Saccharomyces cerevisiae S288C: one gene and its partners. The gene in region 3 interacts genetically with the main gene of each other region. Each region holds a gene or a part of one and is shown on either strand. Other genes may lie near its edges.

Region 1 (7,845 bases), on a different chromosome or scaffold from region 3:
CACTATCGGTGATATCTTAAGACCTGAGTTACCGAGTCTTACCTGCTTAACTAAAACCATTTCTGCCGCCTGATGTGGGTCTTCCGTAACAGCCAAATTACATAGTTGGCAAGACAATTAATATATGATACCTTGTTCTCTGGGTCCTAATATATATATATATATATATATATATACGAAAAGGCTGAGAAGAATAAGGCAGATGTTAGCTTAGCTTCTTTTACTCAAGCAATGAAAACAAAATCGAAGGGAAACAAATTCAAACCAAGCGGCCGAGTTATCTCCCGTTCCTAACCTACTACACTAATCACATTTTTCCGTGGAAATAACGTTATTGAAAATGCGTTCTTGCCTGCCATACGTGGGTGAAATACTTCCACGTTCGCAAAAAATACTTCCACGGTGACGAAGTCTGTCTCAGTCGTATATTAAATGCAGAAATCGTCTTATCATTATTGGGCTCTCTTAACGGCGCAGCATCACCGGGTGATGAATGCCAAGCCGCAGAAAGAAAGAAAAAAATTTACTTCAGATTTCTGATAAAAATAAAACGGAAGAGATGAAAGCTAATAATAGAAACAGCTCGATCTTCCTCTGAACAATAATAATTAAAGGACAGACAAAAAGAAACGTAAGAAAGAAGCGAGCCTGTTCTAAAGTGTTCAACGACTGATTCAATTAGAACTGCCTACTCCTGATAGCCAACTCAACTTTTGACTCGTTAAAGTAATTGAAAGCTGGCAAGCAGAATTATTCTTTTTTTTTTTCAAGGTTTCTATCACGTTGTGAGGTTAATATCCCCCGGAGCAAACAGGCTGAAGCGTGAAAAAAACTTAAATATTAAAGTGTCGCAAAACTATACTATAGATACAACATGGGTAGACGGAAGATTGAAATCCAGAGAATTTCTGATGACAGAAATAGGGCTGTCACGTTTATAAAACGTAAAGCTGGCCTTTTTAAGAAGGCCCATGAACTATCCGTTCTTTGTCAAGTAGACATAGCCGTCATTATACTGGGGTCCAATAACACGTTCTATGAGTTTTCCTCTGTGGATACGAATGATTTAATCTATCACTACCAAAATGACAAAAACTTGCTTCACGAAGTGAAAGATCCTTCCGATTATGGAGACTTTCACAAAAGTGCATCCGTTAACATAAATCAAGACCTACTCAGGTCGTCTATGTCAAATAAGCCTTCGAAATCAAATGTTAAAGGAATGAACCAGTCAGAAAATGATGATGATGAGAACAATGATGAGGACGACGATGATCATGGCAATTTTGAGAGGAATTCAAATATGCATTCGAATAAAAAAGCCTCTGATAAAAATATACCGAGTGCACACATGAAGTTGTTATCCCCGACCGCACTCATTTCAAAGATGGATGGTAGTGAGCAAAATAAACGTCATCCTGAGAACGCGCTGCCGCCTTTACAACATTTGAAAAGATTGAAACCGGATCCTTTGCAAATAAGTAGAACTCCGCAACAGCAACAGCAGCAAAATATATCGAGACCATACCATAGTAGCATGTACAATCTTAACCAGCCTTCATCCAGTTCATCTTCTCCTTCCACGATGGATTTTCCAAAATTACCAAGCTTTCAAAACTCTTCCTTTAATGGTCGTCCTCCACCCATTTCCATTTCACCGAACAAGTTCAGTAAGCCATTTACAAATGCATCCTCAAGGACCCCTAAACAGGAGCACAAAATTAACAATAGTGGCAGCAATAATAATGACAACAGCAACTACACTCAGTCACCATCTAATTCTTTGGAAGACTCTATTCAGCAGACTGTCAAAGCAAGAAGGAAATTGTCCGCCAGACCGGTACTTCGTGTGAGAATTCCGAACAACAATTTCAGCAGTAATTCCGCTATTCCAAGTGAACCCTCCTCTGCCTCCTCCACATCGGCCAACGGCAATAGTATGGGCTCTTCGCAGATAATGAAAGAAAACAAAACAAGTAGGTCTAGCAAAATTTCTCCACTATCCGCATCTGCCTCAGGCCCCTTAACTCTCCAAAAAGGTAATAATGGCAGAATGGTAATAAAATTGCCAAATGCAAATGCGCCTAACGGTTCTAACAATGGTAATGGCAGTAACAATAACAATCACCCTTATCCTTTCGGAAGTGGGTCTTCACCTCTTTTTTCTGCAACACAGCCATACATTGCCACTCCCTTGCAACCATCGAATATTCCTGGCGGACCTTTCCAACAAAATACATCTTTTTTAGCTCAAAGACAAACCCAGCAATACCAACAAATGTCTTTCAAAAAACAGAGCCAAACAGTACCATTAACTACAACATTAACCGGACGCCCCCCTTCAACTTTTTCCGGCCCTGAAACCAGCAATGGCCCTCCAACTGGTTCACTGCCATCGAAGTTCGTACATGATTTGATGAGTAATTCTCCAAATGTTTCTTCTATATCGATGTTTCCAGACTGGTCAATGGGACCCAACAGTGCCAAGCCGGGAAACACAAACAATCCTGGTACTTTCCCTCCCGTACAGACGGCCGTAAACAACGGCAACTCCAGCAATATCAGCAGCACTAACAACACTAACAACAACAACAACAATAACAACAACAACAGCAGCAACAACAACAGCAACAACGGCAACGACAATAACAGTAACAATAGCAATAACAGTTACTATAGTAATAATGAAGATGCACCCGTAAATGGAGCTGCTATTTCAGAACATACTACCGATGGTGACTCGAACAATCAGTCCAACTCAAGTACATATGATGCTGCTGCCACCGCATATAATGGAAATACCGGGCTGACTCCATACATAAATACTGCTCAAACACCACTAGGCACTAAATTCTTTAATTTTTCGACTGATATTTCAGGAGAAAAAAATTCAAGCAAAATATAAACCAAAAAATTTGACCAGTATGAATATTCCAAGCATAAGAAACTTCTTTTCATTTAAAAAATTTATATTTATATTATTGTAAATGCACATATTTACGTAGTGAATAACCCAAACAAGGAAGAAAAACGAAAAACTCAATTGCATTTTCTGAATAATGATAGTATTTAAGTACTCTTTTGTGCATTAGCAACTAAAATGAATTGCCGCCTGGCCTGGAGTTTGATGTAAGCAGAAGCCGGAAGAAGACAAGAGGTTCATTCAGAGAAAACATCCGTACATTCGAGTTCTCATTGAACCCATACATTTCAACTATTTTTACATAGTTCGTTTTTCATGTGTAAAATTGTCATCGACGCGCCGGAGCATCGGAAAGTTGGAACGTGCGCGATTGCACCAATCCCACTGGGGCCGTGCATTCTGTAGGCAGGAAGCCACTGGACACTCTGCCCGTTCCCACTTGGAAGATTGGCGTAATTCCACGCTCCTCTATCGATTCTAGCGGGAAAGTTATCTCTCCTGGTAAGCGTTGGAGGAATGCCGCTACCTAGGTAAGTCTACTGGGTGGGAATTCCAGTACCGACGTCTAGGAACATCATGATGCTGCAGTTTCTTTGAAATTTCATATACAGTGTTACCAAGGATAAAGTGGTTAATGCTTATTCGTCATTGAATTTTTATATTTGCTTAAGAGAAGTGACAAAAGAGTGAAGACAGACTATACATCATGAAGGTATGATTTATGATACTATTATTGAGGGGCAACAGAGAACTTTATATGTGGAAAAATGGCATGAAAGTTTGAAAGTGAGAAAGAACTAAACAGAACCAGACGTCGTAAAGATTTTAGAAATTTTTTATGGAAAGAAGCAGGAAGACTACCATATACTAATTGATGCGTTTGTGGCGTTATTTTTAAACAAACAGAGCGGGTTTACATATACTGTTACTACAAACCGTGAAATTGAAGCAGTTCATATACTTGGAGTATAGTCAATAAAAGACAAGCTTTTTCATCTTCCACTTAATAATTTCTCTAGAGTAATAAACTTCACCCTATTCAAACATTAATTTTGCAATAGTATACTAACAAATTTTCTTAATAACCTGTTGAAAATTTAAAATAGTTGAACATTTCTTACCCAGTTAACGGGTCTCAAAAGACCTTCGAAATTGATGATGAACACCGTATTCGTGTTTTCTTCGACAAGAGAATCGGTCAAGAAGTCGATGGTGAAGCCGTTGGTGACGAATTCAAGGGTTACGTCTTCAAGATCTCTGGTGGTAACGACAAACAAGGTTTCCCAATGAAGCAAGGTGTTTTGTTGCCAACTAGAATCAAGTTGTTGTTGACCAAGAACGTTTCTTGTTACAGACCAAGACGTGATGGTGAAAGAAAGAGAAAGTCCGTCAGAGGTGCCATTGTTGGTCCAGATTTGGCTGTCTTGGCTTTGGTCATTGTCAAGAAGGGTGAGCAAGAATTGGAAGGTCTAACTGACACTACTGTTCCAAAGAGATTGGGTCCAAAGAGAGCTAACAACATCAGAAAGTTCTTCGGTTTGTCCAAGGAAGATGACGTTCGTGATTTCGTCATCAGAAGAGAAGTCACCAAGGGTGAAAAGACTTACACCAAGGCTCCAAAGATCCAAAGATTGGTTACTCCTCAAAGATTGCAAAGAAAGAGACACCAAAGAGCTTTGAAGGTCAGAAACGCTCAAGCTCAAAGAGAAGCTGCTGCCGAATACGCTCAATTGTTGGCTAAGAGATTGTCTGAAAGAAAGGCTGAGAAGGCTGAAATCAGAAAGAGAAGAGCTTCTTCTTTGAAGGCTTAAAGTTAGAAAGCAGTAAAAGATAAATTCTTTTGTTCAAAAACTCCTTTCTTATTCTGTATTTTGTGTATTTTTAAGCTTAAAATCAAATAACTTTATTTTTTATATAATTAACAAAAAGAAAAATAATCATATGTATTGTAAACGAGAGTCGGAATGTATCCTCAACTGAATATCCAAGCGAGTCCACAGTAGCTAATAGTCTGAAAAAAAAAGGAACCCTTGTCCTTGAACAGAAATGACAAAATTACTACGTATTTCAGGATGCTATATAAGATTGTTTACAAGAGTACAAAAGTCCAGTATAGCAACAGCAGATTGGACGTCTAGTTTCGTTGCTTCATCTCATAGTAACCAATTCTTCTGCGCTAGTCGGATGAATAGCAACACAATTATCGAAATCAGCCTTAGTGGCACCCATCTTTATAGCAACACCGAACCCTTGCAAGATTTCTGCAGAGGAATCACCAACAATGTGCAGACCGACAACCTTTTCATTTGGTCCCGCACAAACAATTTTATATCTTGTGGGTGATTTCTCACTCAACATAGCATAGTACATGGCGGTAAATTTGGAATTGTAGACCTTTATATTCTCCTTACCGTACTTTTCAATGGCTTCCTTCTCAGAAATACCAATGGAACCGGCTTCAGGATGTGAGAAAATTACGCTGGGGACGTTCTCGTAATCTAGTTTGTCATTACGGAATTTCTCTGGACCAAACAGTCTATTAGACAGCTTTCTGCCCGCTGCAATAGCGACAGGTGTCAATTCAACTTTTCCAACAACGTCACCTAGAGAATAAATGTTTGGAACATTGGTGTTCTGATATTCATCAGCAATTATTTGGTCATGAGAGTTCAGCTTTATACCTACATTTTCTGAACCCATACCTAGATGGGATTTACGTCCAATTGTCCAAATTAATTCGTCAACGTCATCGATGGACTTTGAGTCATTCATATGTATTTTCAGTTTGTCAGTTTCTACATTTTTCTCCACCTTAACAATTTTGGATAGTTTATGAACGTTGATGCCTTCCTTTACGTAATGGTCAGTAATAGTGTTCTGGATGCATTCATCAAATTTTCTCAAGACAGTTTCACCTCTAATTACCAAGTGCGTTTCGGATCCCAGCCCATGGAACACACCTGCTAGCTCAATACCAATATAACCAGCGCCAACAACAACAACTTTCTTAGGTTGTTCTTCCAATCTAAAGAACCCATCAGAATCAGTACCTAATTCGAAACCTGGAATGTTTTCGGGGAAAATAGCCTTTCCACCGGTCGCAACTAAAATATGGTTAGCGGAGTAAACTTCAGTAGTATTATCCCTTTTCTGAACTTCAACATTACCGTCCTTATTGAATCTAGCCCATCCAAATACAACATCCACTTTTTCTTTTTCTAAATTCTTCTGGTATATACCGTTCAACCTATGGACATAAGCATCCCTTTTCTGCTTAAATTCTGGCCAATTAAAAGTCAAATGCTCTTTATCTAATGGAAGATTCTGATATAATCCATATTCATTTGCATGGGATACTCTAGTAGCGAGGTCAGAAGCATACCACATGACTTTCTTCGGAACACAACCCACGTTAACACAGGTACCACCAAGAGCCTTAGCTTCAACTAGTAATGTCTTCGCACCATAAGATGCAGCTCTTCTTGCGGAAGCAACACCCCCTGAGCCACCCCCGATGACGAGGTAATCGTAATGCTTGGTGTTCGTGGACATAGTTCTTATCTGTAGACTTCTAAATGTTTGTTTGGTTGCAGAAAGCATAAAGTTCTGTAAACTAATATGTAAATAGATATATATACATATGAAGGAAAGCAGCAAAATATACTGAGAGTGAGAAGCGCATGAGAAAAACCAGAAGTGTTTCTTATACTTTTTTAGACTGATTTTAATAGTAGATTCCAAATGGAAAGCTCCGAAATCCTCGAAAAATTGACAAGGGTCGTGCTTACTAAGTGACGTCAAAAAATATCAGGCATAGTGAAAACCAACGTGAAGAAGCAAAAGCAGCAAAGCGCCGTGCAAATGAATTAAACTATCTATTGAGACTCCTACATGAAATGCTTGCCAATTATGTACGTATAAAACCAACAATTTTATGCTAAACGCGTAAAATCTAGAGCCGAGTTTGATTCTTCCACGCTTTCAATGCTGTTATACGGAGAAACTGTCGTCTTTTCCGTACCTGACTCTGAAAATAATGAAGATTTACGGGCAGCATGCAGCATCTTTTTAGAATACTCATGCAATGTGCATAAAAGGCATAGAATTGACCAACAAACGCAAACACCGCCGTATATGGTTCCTAGGACTCTAAATGCATATAAGGGAACGTACTGGTTATACTGCACATATAACTCTTCGTTTCCTAAAGACATAGTACCCATCGGGAAAGTCATCCCCCAAAAACCTTTGTGGAAGGTATAAACTCTCTTCACTTTTCCTGTCTCGTTTTCAATCTCTTTTTTATTGTAGTACGACAGGATTGAAACGACAGAAATCACGGTGAAAAAATAGCCCATAGCGAGCAATGCCATAGCAGAAACCATGCCTAGAATTTTGAAACACCATGGAACTGCAATAGTCAATATCTCTTGTTCTCTTGTAATGTTATCTGTTGGGTAATATTTGCCCGCATATTTTTTTATATTATCTGTAAGCAATAAGACTCCAAAACTTCCTTGGCCCATCGGGCCCAAAAGCAGGAATAAGGTGAAAACCTGTGTCATTGGTGGTATCTTATTAATATAAAGACTCCAGAAGTATATCGCAATCAGTATGAAGACGAAGATAATGGCATGCAGCCACGTTAAGGCACATATGACCAACGTTATCAGTTGAATGTTTCTATTAAACGCATGGAAGAATATTTCTGACATTGTGAATGTTCCACAACTTGAAGCGACGACAACCAGCGGAATGATATCCAGTAGCAATACACTTTTCATGTTTTCGGATGCCATTTTGATATTATATGAAGGATAATTCCCAATCCCTTCCAAAGGGTAATAGTCATGCCAGATGAGAAACGAGATACCCCACGCTATTACTAGACAGACTGCGAGATCATACCACCACAAGACGTA
Region 2 (7,775 bases), on a different chromosome or scaffold from region 3:
GCAGTTCAAGAATTTAACTCAGATCCCCCACAACAACTACCTTCTAGGAAGCCTAAAAGGGGTAATGTTCTCATACCAGAAGATATGATTAGTGCCCCCCCACTAATCTCTCTGGGAATTACAAACAGCAGCGATCAAAGCAGTTTTCAGTCCAATATCTCTCCCTCATATTCAAAAGATTCTAAAGAATATAAATTAGCTTTGGAAAATTTTAAAAAAGCAGCTAAAGAAGCCGAAAAACATCAAAAGGATGCGTATTATGTTGCAGAGCGAATGGCTCAAGAAGTGGCAAACTATAAGGCCAGGCAATTGAAGACATCGCCGTTAACTGGAGCAACTAATTCAGCAGCAGATTCAGCGACGGATCAAGAATCCTCCTCTCTAGATGCTAGAGCTTCTAAGCTTCATATCGATAAACCGATCAATGTAGGTGCACATCCTTTCGAAACACATCAGGATGATAACATTAAATACTCTTCTCACCTTGAACAAACATTGGACGTAGCTTACACTAGATGCTGTCATTTGAGAGAAATTTTACCAATACCGTCCACTTTGAGACAGGTCAAAGGTAAAACCGCACCTTTGCAGACTTTGAAATTTTTGAATCCAAAACCAACCTTAGTGGATATATTATCATTTTGTGATTTTATTGCCATAACTCCGATCCATAACATCATTTTCGATAATGTGTCCTTAACCCATGATATGTTCAAGATTGTCATTTGTTCTTTGGTAACCTCTCCGGTAGTGGAGAAATTGGGGTTAAGAAATGTTGTGATAAACGAACAAAGTTGGAAACTACTTTGCAAGTTTTTATTACAAAATAAAACATTGATCAAGCTGGATATTTCTCAGACTAAAGCAAGGACAGATTTAAATGATTCTAACTACAGAGACCAAATGGACTGGGAACTATTTTGCGAAGTTCTTAGAAATAGAGAAGGTAGACCTTTGGAAGAATTGCTTTTGAATGGTTTAAGGTTTGACAAAATGTCATTCAGTCATTTCAAAAATATCCTACTTACTTTCGCACAAATGAACCCTAAAAACCCTATTCGTCTCGGGATGGCTAACGTAGAATTCTCAACCGAGTGTTTTGATTTTCTCTTTAATTGGATGTCTGAATATAACGTTCAAGGTGTGGATTTGGCCTATAATAATTTAGAAAGTTTGGCAAAACGAATGATCAAAAAACTAGCTAGGCTTCCTTATAAGCATTTGGAATATTTTACCCTTAACAGCACTAATATCACCTCTGTTGATGATATGTCCTACATACTAAAATATCTTTCACGTTTGCCAAGCATAAAATTTCTAGATTTGAGCAACTTGCCTCAGTTATTCCCGGGGATTTTAACATCCGGCTATAAGTATTTTCCCCAATTTCCACAACTGAAACGTATTCATTTTGATTTCGACGATCTTTCTATAAAAGAAACAACCATGCTTGTCAGCATATTAGCTAAGTGTGAAACCCTCTCTCATGTTTCATTGATAGGACAAAGTCCTATGCCCGATGCAAGTAAAATATCCGACAGTACTGATGAACCCGATAAGTCGAAAGATGAAAAGAAAGAACAAATCGTATTTATGAGAAATACGCTTTGGGCCTCATTGTATGCATTTGTTAGGGACTCTCACAATTTAGTTAGTTTAGACGTTGACTATGATCAAGTACCAGACGAAATTCAATCAAGAATTGCGTTATGCTTAATGCATAATATGAAGAGAATTATGGACTCTAGCTTTAAATTAGATGAATTGACTGTACAAGATGATTTAATATTTGATGGTTCCTTGATAACTGAGACAGCAGAAGAAGTTTTGAAAAGATTAAATGACAAATCTTTACTTCAAAATGATGTTGGGAAGAAATATCTTTTAAAGAAATATTTTGAGAAAATGGAAAAGGTACATCATAATGTTCAAAATACAATTGATTCTATGTTTGAGAAAAGAAAATCCGGCGAACTGCCACTGCAGGAAAAGGAAAACCTACTAAGGTTATTGCTTCTTGAGAAAAATTTATCAAATATTCTTGATATTTTTGCTTCTATGCCCAATATAGCAGATGTCGTACCATTTTCAAAAGCCGATAATAGTTTCCCTAATATTGGGGATAGCACGGTTAGCGCAAACTATAATGATGGTATTCGTCCATCTCTAAAACACTTAGATTCTGACAGGTTAATCAACGATGTTTCAATTCCTGAAAACGATTCATCAATTAGACCACACTTAATGGCCACCGACTCGGGACGAATCATCGATGTGACCACTGGTAAAGCTCTTCTTTTCAAGAGTTCGTCTAATACCTCACTGGCCGGCAAGAGACAGGAAGAAGAGGAAGGTGAATTACATAAATGGGGTGTGTTTGTACAGCACCAAAGCTCAAGACATAACTCTGGGCTTCCTTCATCCGCCAATTCTTCGAGAATTAGCGGGTCGTTAACACCAGATAGCAGTGTCGCCGGAGGAAAGAAAGGGGAATCCTCTCGCACATCTGGTACAAGGCCAAAAATCTTACCAAAGATTCCTACCGGTGCCGAATTAAGGGATGCCATTATTAAAGCTAAGGGTATTGATTCTGTAGATGATCTGATTAAAAATGTTACCTCTGAAAAGGTTGGATTGGAATCATTATATGGAGATGAATTGAACTCTAGAAGCCCGAGTAATGACAGTTTACAAGAATCACAACAAAAGGCGCCTTTGCAGAGGCCCCTTGTTGAAGATGAAACAGTGACAAAAAAATATGACAAACTATTGAACGATCTGTCTAATGTTCGTCACAGTAAAACCTAAATTATTTTATGCTTCTGTCTTTCCTTTCTCTTTCGATTATTAGAAGGTGCATCTTTGTATAAATATCCCATCAATAATGTATTCTTAGGAATCTATATATGTATGTACGTTTTATGTGTATATGTATTTTACGTTTTTTCATAATCATATACTTTCTGCCGAAATTTTTTGCCTTCATTATGCACACTAATGTTATTAATCAGATAAAAATACAGAAATTTAAAATAAATACTGAGAATAATATAATTAACTGTTCGAGAATTGTCGCAAATTAATAGCTTCACACTACTCCCACAAGGATTCCTAATTCACGTGCAACAGCAACCGGATCTTTTTGAAAATGCTTTCGAATTGGTTGGGACCCAGTTTCGTAGAATCCTCTTTCATCAATCTAATCAGAGAAACGAACCCAACGAGTGTTAATAGATTGATAGCTGTGGACCATTTTTTCCTGCTAGTCATTTTTCTAACACCGAAATAACGGCAGAGCCCCGAACCTATATGATATACACCTGACTCGAGGAGAATAGCTAACGGCACCAGGCCTCCAAGCCATTTCCACCACCTGTTCTTGCTAGATAGTAATTGCTTTATAGAGGCGAAATCCACCTCAGTAGAGATGGAATTCGGCACCCATTTCATAATTAATAAGTGGTATATCAGGACGGGAACAAGGATGTATCCACTAATCACTTGTGGAGGAATGCGGAAGGTCTTATACAATCCAAATAAATAGCCAGAAATTCCACCAGTTAAACCAATCGAATCTTGGGATAGATCTTGTTCGGCCGATATCTTTAAATGTCGATGTCTATTTCTTCTTGGCTTGTTCCAGTTGTTCACGATTCGGAGCAAGACACCAGCAGAAACATGAAGAGTAATACCCGCAACTAACAGCTTGGTAGTTATGGACGGTAAAATCTCTCTCACCATCATTAAAACGTCGTCAGGAGCAGAATCAGGTGATACTGCCGGCGTGATTAATGTATTTGCTGCATGTAGTGGGAAATACAATGCCATGGGCAGTACCGAAATCTTTTGACAGTTCCAAAGGAATCTCCGACATGAACTCCTGGAAAAAGGATACGGAATGCCAAATATTTTTTTCCTCTTATCAGGATTACCATCTCCTTCGGGGCTATGTGCATTAACATCATGAGGGAGACTAGCAGGGTCTACTGGTTCTGGAGGCACTTCATGCAACTTTATCATCGTAATAAACAAAACTCTGGGCTAACTGGTATATGCCCTAGTAATTCGGGACCTGTTAGGAGCAATACAATCTACACAAGGTTTTCCTTACTTATTTTCCAATTGACGACCAACTTGCCTCACACAATTACAGAGCACGTATTCGCTCTCTAGCCACTCTTTTCAAAACAAATTTTAGTTGTGGACCTGGTTAGGATACAATCAGCGATGTCGGAAGACTGATGTAGTAGAATTGACTGGAACGCTTCTTCTATAGTCTACACGGAAGCTATACTCCCTTGAATAGATGGTAGATGTTCCGCATAAGGTTTGTCCTTTTGGTTTTTTAGCCCCGTTCGGGGTTCGAACTGCTAAGTCATATTCCGCACATATGCGTCCGCAGACTCTCATTGGATCATTCTTACCCATTCGGGTCATAATGCAAGCCTTTACCATTTATGGCACTTTGATTTCCCTTTCCATCTCACATCTTCAATTCTATTGTTTTTGAAAAAAAAAAAAAATAAAAAAAAAAAAGATTAAAGGCAATTAGTTAGCTGACGTATGGAACATCTCTGCTGTACAGCTACATTTACTTATAAGACAAGGAGCAATTAGTAGCGACGGGAGCAAGAACTAAAAAGGATAGAGGATGGCGAAAAGCAAATCCAGTCAGGGTGCGAGTGGAGCACGCCGTAAACCGGCACCTTCTTTATACCAACACATTTCTAGCTTTAAACCACAATTCAGCACAAGAGTCGACGATGTTTTACATTTTAGCAAGACACTGACATGGAGAAGTGAGATTATTCCAGACAAATCCAAGGGCACCTTGACGACTAGTCTTTTATATTCTCAAGGTAGTGATATTTACGAAATAGACACTACTTTACCATTAAAGACATTCTATGACGACGACGACGACGACGACAACGACGACGACGACGAAGAAGGTAACGGCAAGACGAAGTCTGCAGCCACCCCAAATCCAGAGTATGGTGATGCTTTCCAAGATGTTGAGGGGAAACCATTGCGCCCAAAGTGGATTTACCAGGGCGAAACAGTGGCAAAAATGCAATACTTGGAAAGCTCAGACGACAGTACGGCGATCGCGATGTCCAAGAACGGCTCTTTGGCATGGTTCAGAGATGAGATCAAGGTTCCCGTTCATATCGTACAGGAAATGATGGGCCCTGCTACTAGATACTCTAGTATTCACTCTCTAACCAGACCAGGTTCATTAGCAGTGTCAGATTTTGATGTGTCGACAAATATGGATACGGTAGTAAAGTCACAAAGTAACGGCTACGAGGAGGACAGCATCTTGAAAATCATCGACAACTCCGATAGACCGGGAGATATATTACGTACAGTGCACGTTCCAGGGACCAACGTGGCTCACTCAGTTAGATTTTTTAACAACCATTTATTTGCATCTTGTTCAGATGACAACATTTTAAGATTCTGGGACACAAGAACAGCGGACAAACCGCTTTGGACGCTAAGCGAACCGAAAAATGGACGACTAACGTCCTTCGATTCCTCTCAAGTTACTGAAAACCTATTTGTCACTGGGTTCAGCACGGGTGTCATCAAGCTATGGGATGCGCGTGCTGTGCAACTGGCTACTACTGACCTCACACATAGGCAGAACGGCGAGGAACCGATCCAAAACGAAATAGCCAAGTTGTTCCATTCTGGCGGCGATTCCGTTGTCGATATCCTGTTCTCACAAACCTCTGCAACAGAATTTGTTACGGTTGGAGGAACGGGTAATGTCTACCACTGGGACATGGAGTACTCTTTTTCAAGAAACGACGATGACAACGAAGACGAAGTTCGAGTGGCTGCTCCGGAGGAACTTCAGGGTCAATGTTTAAAATTTTTCCACACAGGTGGCACAAGAAGATCGAGCAACCAATTCGGGAAGAGGAACACTGTGGCGCTACACCCCGTAATCAATGATTTTGTTGGCACTGTTGATTCAGATAGTCTTGTTACTGCCTACAAACCATTTCTGGCCAGTGACTTCATTGGCAGAGGTTACGACGATTAAAAAAAAAAAAGAGTAAGAAATTAACGTTACCACCTATGGGAAAGGCAGTAACTCACAAGCATTCACGTACATAATTCTGTTTTTTTTTTTTTTATTCATTTCTAGCACGCTATCGGGGTTATTTTTTTTTTTGTAATATATAGTGATGGTATAATGTTGTATAGATACTGGTATCGCTCCTAATAAAGACTCTTTCAGATTTCTGAAGCCAACGAAGTAAGGCCTCAAGAAAAGAGGGTTACCAGTAATTAACCAAGCAATTTCTTTTTTTTCTTTCCAGCAAAGAAATAAGACAAAAACCGGCTATATGGAGAAGAGGGAGGATCTAATGGTGACATAGTCCATTTCAAGATTCCCTCTTTCGTTTCTCGGATGAAGCTCGATGTTTACAATTCAGAATCTTAAAAGGCTGTCGCTAAGAAAGACCCAGAGGCACATGCAAGATAGTTGTGCCTGTACCACGTGAGAAGGCGGTATTCAATATGCGGTGCTGTGCTGGCTTCCCTTTTTGGAACGCGCCGGGGTATAACAAAGAAAGGCTAAGTCATACAATAGGCAAAAGACCTTTGTCTTTCCTTTTTTTCCTCTTTCCTAACATACGGTGGTTTATGTACTATCCCTTATGTAATTGCTTAGCTATACACAGTGAGCACACATAGTGGCGCTCACTACTCCCTTTTAATTTCAACTCGTAGATAGTTGGGCTATTTTCCTTCGAATCCTCGTTTATCATCTCATATTTAAGAGTACCATTTCGGGGCTTTTTTTTACCTTTTCCTTTTCCATGCAGTCTGTCCCCTTAATGTTCTATGTTTTTTTTTTTTTTTTTTCAGTTCTGTAGCTTCCAGTATAAAGGGAGGGAAAAAAGAAGATCCGAAAAGTTTATATTCGCCTGAATTGTAGATATTAGATAAGAAAATTAATTATTAATCAACCAATCTTGAAAGATACAAATAAATTGTAACACACTATACATTACAACCAAAAATGCCAAAAAAGGTTTGGAAATCATCTACGCCTTCCACTTATGAACATATCTCCAGCTTAAGACCAAAATTTGTGTCTCGTGTGGACAATGTTCTGCACCAAAGGAAGTCCTTGACGTTCAGCAACGTTGTTGTTCCAGATAAAAAAAATAACACTCTAACCTCAAGTGTTATATACTCTCAAGGTAGTGATATCTACGAAATTGACTTCGCTGTACCACTACAAGAAGCCGCTTCAGAACCGGTGAAAGACTATGGTGACGCCTTTGAAGGTATTGAAAACACCTCGTTGAGCCCAAAATTCGTGTACCAGGGTGAAACTGTCTCCAAAATGGCCTACTTAGATAAGACTGGAGAAACTACATTATTGTCGATGTCTAAGAACGGGTCGTTGGCTTGGTTCAAAGAGGGTATAAAGGTCCCTATTCACATTGTACAGGAATTGATGGGTCCAGCAACCAGCTATGCCAGCATCCATTCTTTAACCAGACCTGGTGATCTACCTGAAAAGGATTTCTCATTAGCCATCTCTGACTTCGGCATTTCCAATGATACCGAAACCATTGTGAAGTCTCAGAGTAATGGTGATGAAGAAGACAGTATTTTGAAAATCATTGACAATGCCGGTAAGCCTGGTGAGATTCTACGTACTGTTCATGTGCCTGGTACCACTGTGACTCACACCGTAAGATTTTTCGACAATCATATCTTTGCGTCTTGTTCAGATGACAATA
Region 3 (5,889 bases):
AGGCAAGAGTTTTAATTTTGCCAGCGAAATGTTCTGCCATTTTCATCTTTACCGCTCGAATTAGTGATGTTCCAGACGAAGGTAACATAGAGTGATCGATAGGTTCTTCAATTCATCAAGCATTATCTCAGAATTGTGTTTGGTAAGCTCTCTTCGAGAAAAGGAAGAACAAAAAAAAAAAAAATAAAGCAAAGAACAGGTTATAACGCTATGGGTAACTTTCCAGCTCCAAAAAACGATTTGATATTGAGAGCCGCAAAGGGTGAAAAAGTCGAGAGACCGCCATGCTGGATAATGCGCCAGGCAGGTCGTTACCTGCCGGAATATCACGAGGTGAAAAACAATCGTGATTTCTTTCAAACTTGCAGGGATGCGGAAATTGCTTCTGAGATTACTATCCAGCCGGTAAGACGCTATAGAGGCCTCATTGATGCTGCTATTATTTTTAGTGATATCTTAGTTATTCCGCAAGCCATGGGTATGAGGGTCGAGATGCTCGAAGGTAAAGGTCCACATTTCCCAGAACCTTTAAGAAATCCGGAAGACCTCCAAACGGTATTAGACTACAAGGTTGATGTTTTGAAAGAGTTAGATTGGGCTTTCAAGGCAATCACCATGACAAGGATCAAGTTGGATGGTGAGGTTCCCTTATTTGGCTTTTGCGGGGGACCTTGGACTCTAATGGTTTATATGACGGAAGGCGGTGGATCCCGTCTTTTCAGATTTGCCAAACAATGGATTAACATGTATCCAGAGCTTTCTCACAAATTATTACAAAAAATCACTGATGTGGCCGTGGAGTTTCTGAGTCAGCAAGTCGTGGCGGGTGCTCAAATACTACAAGTTTTTGAAAGTTGGGGTGGTGAGCTTTCGTCTGTAGATTTTGATGAGTTTTCCCTACCATATTTAAGACAAATTGCCGAAAGAGTGCCTAAAAGATTGCAAGAATTAGGTATCATGGAACAGATTCCTATGATCGTTTTTGCGAAAGGGTCGTGGTATGCTTTGGACAAGCTATGCTGTTCAGGATTTGACGTTGTTTCGTTGGACTGGTCCTGGGACCCAAGAGAAGCGGTAAAAATAAACAAGAACCGTGTCACCTTGCAGGGCAACCTGGATCCTGGCGTCATGTATGGTTCTAAAGAGGTAATAACAAAGAAAGTTAAACAGATGATTGAGGCTTTTGGAGGTGGGAAGTCCCGCTACATTGTTAATTTCGGTCACGGTACCCACCCTTTCATGGATCCAGACGTCATCAAGTTTTTCTTGGAGGAGTGCCACAGAATTGGTTCGAAGTAATGTGGAAATATTGATTCTTATAGTGTTATAAGTGATAATATACGTTTATGTAAATAATATCTTTTTCACAACGTTCAAAAGTGGCCTTTTTTCTTTTTTCGATATTCTGTATATTTATTACGATTTTTTTTTTTTTCAGATATTTATTTTTGCAGGTTCTCTGAATGGATGTAGTGACAAAATCTTAAATAGAAGAAAATAAAAGATGAAGGTATATGAAAATAAATGAGAATGCATATCACCTTTCCTTCGAAGAAAAAGGATTTTCAAAAGATCTGCACGCCTGTTGACAAGCTTCCAATAGCATGAATTCACAAAAGGCGAGTAAAATGACTGGCTCACTAAAAAAGAATGATCTTTATATTTTTGATTTGTCTGAGCAACTTCTGAATTCATTGAAATTGATGAGCTTTGACTCCACACTGCGAGAAGTTGAAGTAGAGAAGACATCTGATAATGATAGAAACAAGGAGTCTGGAGATCTCCAAATAGCAAGAAAGAAGGTCACATCAAATGTTATGCGTTGTAGTGTTTGTCAAATGAGCTTTGATTCCAGAAATGAACAAAAGGCCCACTACCAGACTGATTATCATTTGATGAATGTTAAGCGTAACCTTAGGGGGCTGGATATCCTATCCGTTGAGGAATTCGATGCGCTGATTTCTAAGGAGCATGGTATCAAGTCTGAAGACGAAAATTCTGGCGGCGAGCAAACTTCAAGCGATCACGAAGAAAGTGAGGAAGCCAGCGATCGGGACCCGGACCTACAAACTAATAATTATATGGAAACTATAATCGAAAATGATTTGCAGAAATTAGGGTTCCAAAAAGACGAGTCGGATGCTATTAGCCATATTAATACCCAATCGCCCTACATTTATTTCAAATCGAAGTATCTTCAAAAGAATGAGGTCTTGGCGATTTATAAGTCTCTATTTAATAAAAGGAGTCTTTCCAACCCCAATGAAGCTTTGACTTTTTGGAATTCGCAAGAGAACCCAATGGCCATTTCAGCTCTGTTTATGGTGGGAGGTGGACATTTTGCGGGAGCAATTGTTTCTCATCAAAGACTCAATGTCAAGGGGAACGCGCACAAGAAGGACGAAACCTTAATTGAGCAAGCGGTCAATTTCTTAGAGCACAAGACGTTTCACAGGTATACTACCAGAAGGAAGCAAGGTGGTTCTCAGTCAGCAATGGACAATGCAAAGGGAAAAGCTAACTCTGCCGGTTCAGCACTTCGTAGGTACAATGAAAGCGCTTTAAAAACAGATATACAGGGTGTGTTGAAGGACTGGGAACCTTATCTGTCAAAGTGTGATAATATTTTTATTCGAGCTCGCAATGTCAGTGATAAAAAAATTTTTACTGATAATACCGTTCTGAACAAGGGTGATGAAAGGATAAAGAGCTTCCCTTTTACCACGAACAGGCCCACTGTATTAGAATTGAAGAAGGCATGGTGCGAACTTTCCTACCTGAAAATATTACCTAAGCCTGAACCATTGGCAGTGAAAGAAACAGTACAAAAGTTAGAAGTGTCGAACAAAAAGGACGAATTTAAAGAAAAACAAGAACCGTTACTGGAAGAAATCCAAACAGAAGAAATAATTTCTCTGCTGAAGAAAGGAAGGGCACCGTTATTGATATCCTTCTTAAAAAAGAATAAGCTTGATGGAAACTTTCGGTTAAAGCCTGAGAGTAAATATTCCTTAACCCCTACCATGTTACATTATGCATCGCAGCAAGGGATGAAACAGATGGCACTGATTTTGCTCTCAAATATTAAATGCGATCCAACGATCAAGAACAGACTAGGAAGGACTGCGTGGGATTTGAATAGAAACGACGACGTGAGACACGCGTTTCAAATTGCAAGATACAATCTTGGAGAGTCTTTCACTAATTGGGACGAAACTCATATCGGTCAGCCATTGAGCAGAGAACAAGTTGATGAAATCAATGAAAAGAAAAAAGCAATAGAGAATGAAAAGGCAGAAAAACTGATTAAATTGGAATTAGAAGCCGCCAAGGAAAAACAAAGATTTGCTAAAGATGCAGAGAGGGGTCCAGGCAAAAAGTTAACCAATATTCCTTCAATTCAGCAACAAAATTTGAATTCTTTGACCGATGAACAGAGACGCAGATTGATGAGAGAACAAAGGGCTAGAGCCGCAGAAGAAAGGATGAAAAAGAAATACTGAGGAATATCTCATATTCAAATTTTTAGGATTTTTCTTAGCATTTGCATATATTTTCATAGACACAGTACTTACATTTAATAACAGTAATTGAAAAGCAATATTAAAATATAGAAGCCCAAATTTTATATTTCAAATGAATAAATGTTGTTTTTTTTGGCAATTTTTTGCTCTTCTATATAACAGTTGAAATTTGGATAAGAACATCTTCTCAACGCGAAAATGACGCCTCCAGTGAAAAAACATAAACTTTCAATGCAGTCTTCGGTACACTTATGAGTAACCCATATAGAGATCGTACACATTTTACAAGGATTTAGAGACAAAGTAATATTCTTCGTTGATATAGAGGTGTTCAATTGTTAAATGCTTTTCTTCTTTTTATTAGAAAAAGCGCCTTGCTTTTTGTTGTATCACTTGTAAATCTACCGTCCCTTACAAGAACATTCACGAAATTTAAGTGGCTCAGAATGAAAAAGAAACAATATAAAAAAGCTTTCCGTAGTCATCAATTTATTTTACATAACACTAGATATAAAGAAAAGAAGATAATATTTTTATATAATTATATTAATCTTAGTTTCTAGAGTTGATGATATCAACAAATTCTGGCTTCAAAGAAGCACCACCGACCAAGAAACCATCGACATCAGCCTTGTCCTTGAAGGTAACGGCGTTGCTACCGTTAGCGGAACCACCGTATAAGATTCTCAATTCGCTGGCAGCCTTGTCACCCAACTTGGAAGCCAAGAACTTTCTGATGGAAGCGTGAATATCTTGAGCATCTTCTGGAGTAGCAGCCAAACCGGTACCAATGGCCCAGACTGGTTCGTAAGCGACAACGACGTTAGTCCAGTCCTTAACTTCTTCCAAGACAGCGTTCAATTGTCTTTCAACAACATCCAAAGTCTTACCGGCCTTCTTTTCTTCCAAAGTTTCACCGATACACAAGATGACACCGACACCTTGACCTAAAGCGAACTTGGTCTTGTCAGCAATGAACTTGTCATCTTCGTGGAAGTAAGATCTTCTTTCGGAGTGACCCAAAATAACCCACTTAGCACCAACATCCTTGATTTGGTCAACGGAGTTTTCACCGGTGAAAGCACCAGAAGCCTTCAAGTAGGCGTTTTGAGCACCGACAGTGACTTGTGGCTTCTTAACCAAAGAGACAGAGTAGTCTAAGTAGGTAGCTGGAGGACAGATAACAACTTCGACATTTTCTGGGATAGAAGCAGTGTTCAATCTTTCAACAATTTCCTTAATGGATTGTTTGGAACCGTTTAATTTAAAGTTACCACCGACAAAGAAAGTTCTAGCCATTTTTAGTTTATGTATGTGTTTTTTGTAGTTATAGATTTAAGCAAGAAAAGAATACAAACAAAAAATTGAAAAAGATTGATTTAGAATTAAAAAGAAAAATATTTACGTAAGAAGGGAAAATAGTAAATGTTGCAAGTTCACTAAACTCCTAAATTATGCTGCCCTTTATATTCCCTGTTACAGCAGCCGAGCCAAAGGTATATAGGCTCCTTTGCATTAGCATGCGTAACAAACCACCTGTCAGTTTCAACCGAGGTGGTATCCGAGAGAATTGTGTGATTGCTTTAATTAATTTCGGAGAATCTCACATGCCACTGAAGATTAAAAACTGGATGCCAGAAAAGGGGTGTCCAGGTGTAACATCAATAGAGGAAGCTGAAAAGTCTTAGAACGGGTAATCTTCCACCAACCTGATGGGTTCCTAGATATAATCTCGAAGGGAATAAGTAGGGTGATACCGCAGAAGTGTCTGAATGTATTAAGGTCCTCACAGTTTAAATCCCGCTCACACTAACGTAGGATTATTATAACTCAAAAAAATGGCATTATTCTAAGTAAGTTAAATATCCGTAATCTTTAAACACTATGTAGTTAGGTCTCCCTCACAATCAGTCCATTTGGGTAGCACGGTCCTCAGGACGTATCTATTGATGGATTCGTCCAGTTCCATCACCATTACGCTCCCGTTAGGAACATTGGTAAACGATTCAAACTCTTCGTATGTCCATCTAAACCATTTCATCAGGAATACTCTGGAATAAATACCATGTGTAACTAGGACAACAACATCTCTGGGTCTTCTCTCTTGCCTATCATGGAAGTGCCTGAATAAAGTCTCTTGGAAACTGGCGACTCTGTCATATACATCTGCCGCACTTTCTCCATGAGGGAATCTGAAGAAGAAATGACCATACGTAGATCTCTTCTTCATAACGTCCTGCATGCTATTGATTTTTTGGAAATTACCAAAATCTTGTTCCCTTATTCTTGGCTCATCCTTAACCCGATATTGCAGATAACATTTTCCAGGCTTCCCTTCACAAATATTATCTTCATTATTTTCGTA

Evidence for each region. Genes that interact genetically often act in the same process or in processes that back each other up.
Region 1: mutations in VMS1 (region 3) and RPS6A together harm fitness less than expected from each alone (positive genetic interaction), as found in Saccharomyces cerevisiae (2 studies listed by BioGRID).
Region 2: mutations in VMS1 (region 3) and MCP1 together harm fitness more than expected from each alone (negative genetic interaction), as found in Saccharomyces cerevisiae (2 studies listed by BioGRID).

The regions. Positions count from the first base shown.
Region 1 is NC_001148.4:374,180-382,024, reverse strand, and holds RPS6A (40S ribosomal protein eS6 RPS6A), read left to right. Parts: upstream 1-3,629; coding exon 3,630-3,635; intron 3,636-4,029; coding exon 4,030-4,734; downstream 4,735-7,845. Other genes in the region: YPL088W (aldo-keto reductase superfamily protein), read right to left, coding at 1-60; RLM1 (Rlm1p), read left to right, coding at 875-2,905; glutathione-disulfide reductase GLR1, read right to left, coding at 5,072-6,523; SSU1 (Ssu1p), read right to left, coding at 6,856-7,845.
Region 2 is NC_001147.6:763,758-771,532, forward strand, and holds MCP1 (Mcp1p), read right to left. Parts: upstream 4,021-7,775; coding exon 3,112-4,020; downstream 1-3,111. Other genes in the region: HER1 (Her1p), read left to right, coding at 1-2,808; WTM2 (transcriptional modulator), read left to right, coding at 4,652-6,055; WTM1 (transcriptional modulator), read left to right, coding at 7,043-7,775. UniProt on the Saccharomyces cerevisiae protein: Recruits the lipid transfer protein Vps13 to mitochondria thereby promoting vacuole-mitochondria contacts. Involved in mitochondrial lipid homeostasis.
Region 3 is NC_001136.10:551,650-557,538, forward strand, and holds VMS1 (Vms1p), read left to right. Parts: upstream 1-1,604; coding exon 1,605-3,503; downstream 3,504-5,889. Other genes in the region: uroporphyrinogen decarboxylase HEM12, read left to right, coding at 211-1,299; triose-phosphate isomerase TPI1, read right to left, coding at 4,077-4,823; acid phosphatase DET1, read right to left, coding at 5,407-5,889. UniProt on the Saccharomyces cerevisiae protein: Endonuclease that cleaves polypeptidyl-tRNAs downstream of the ribosome-associated quality control (RQC) pathway to release incompletely synthesized polypeptides for degradation.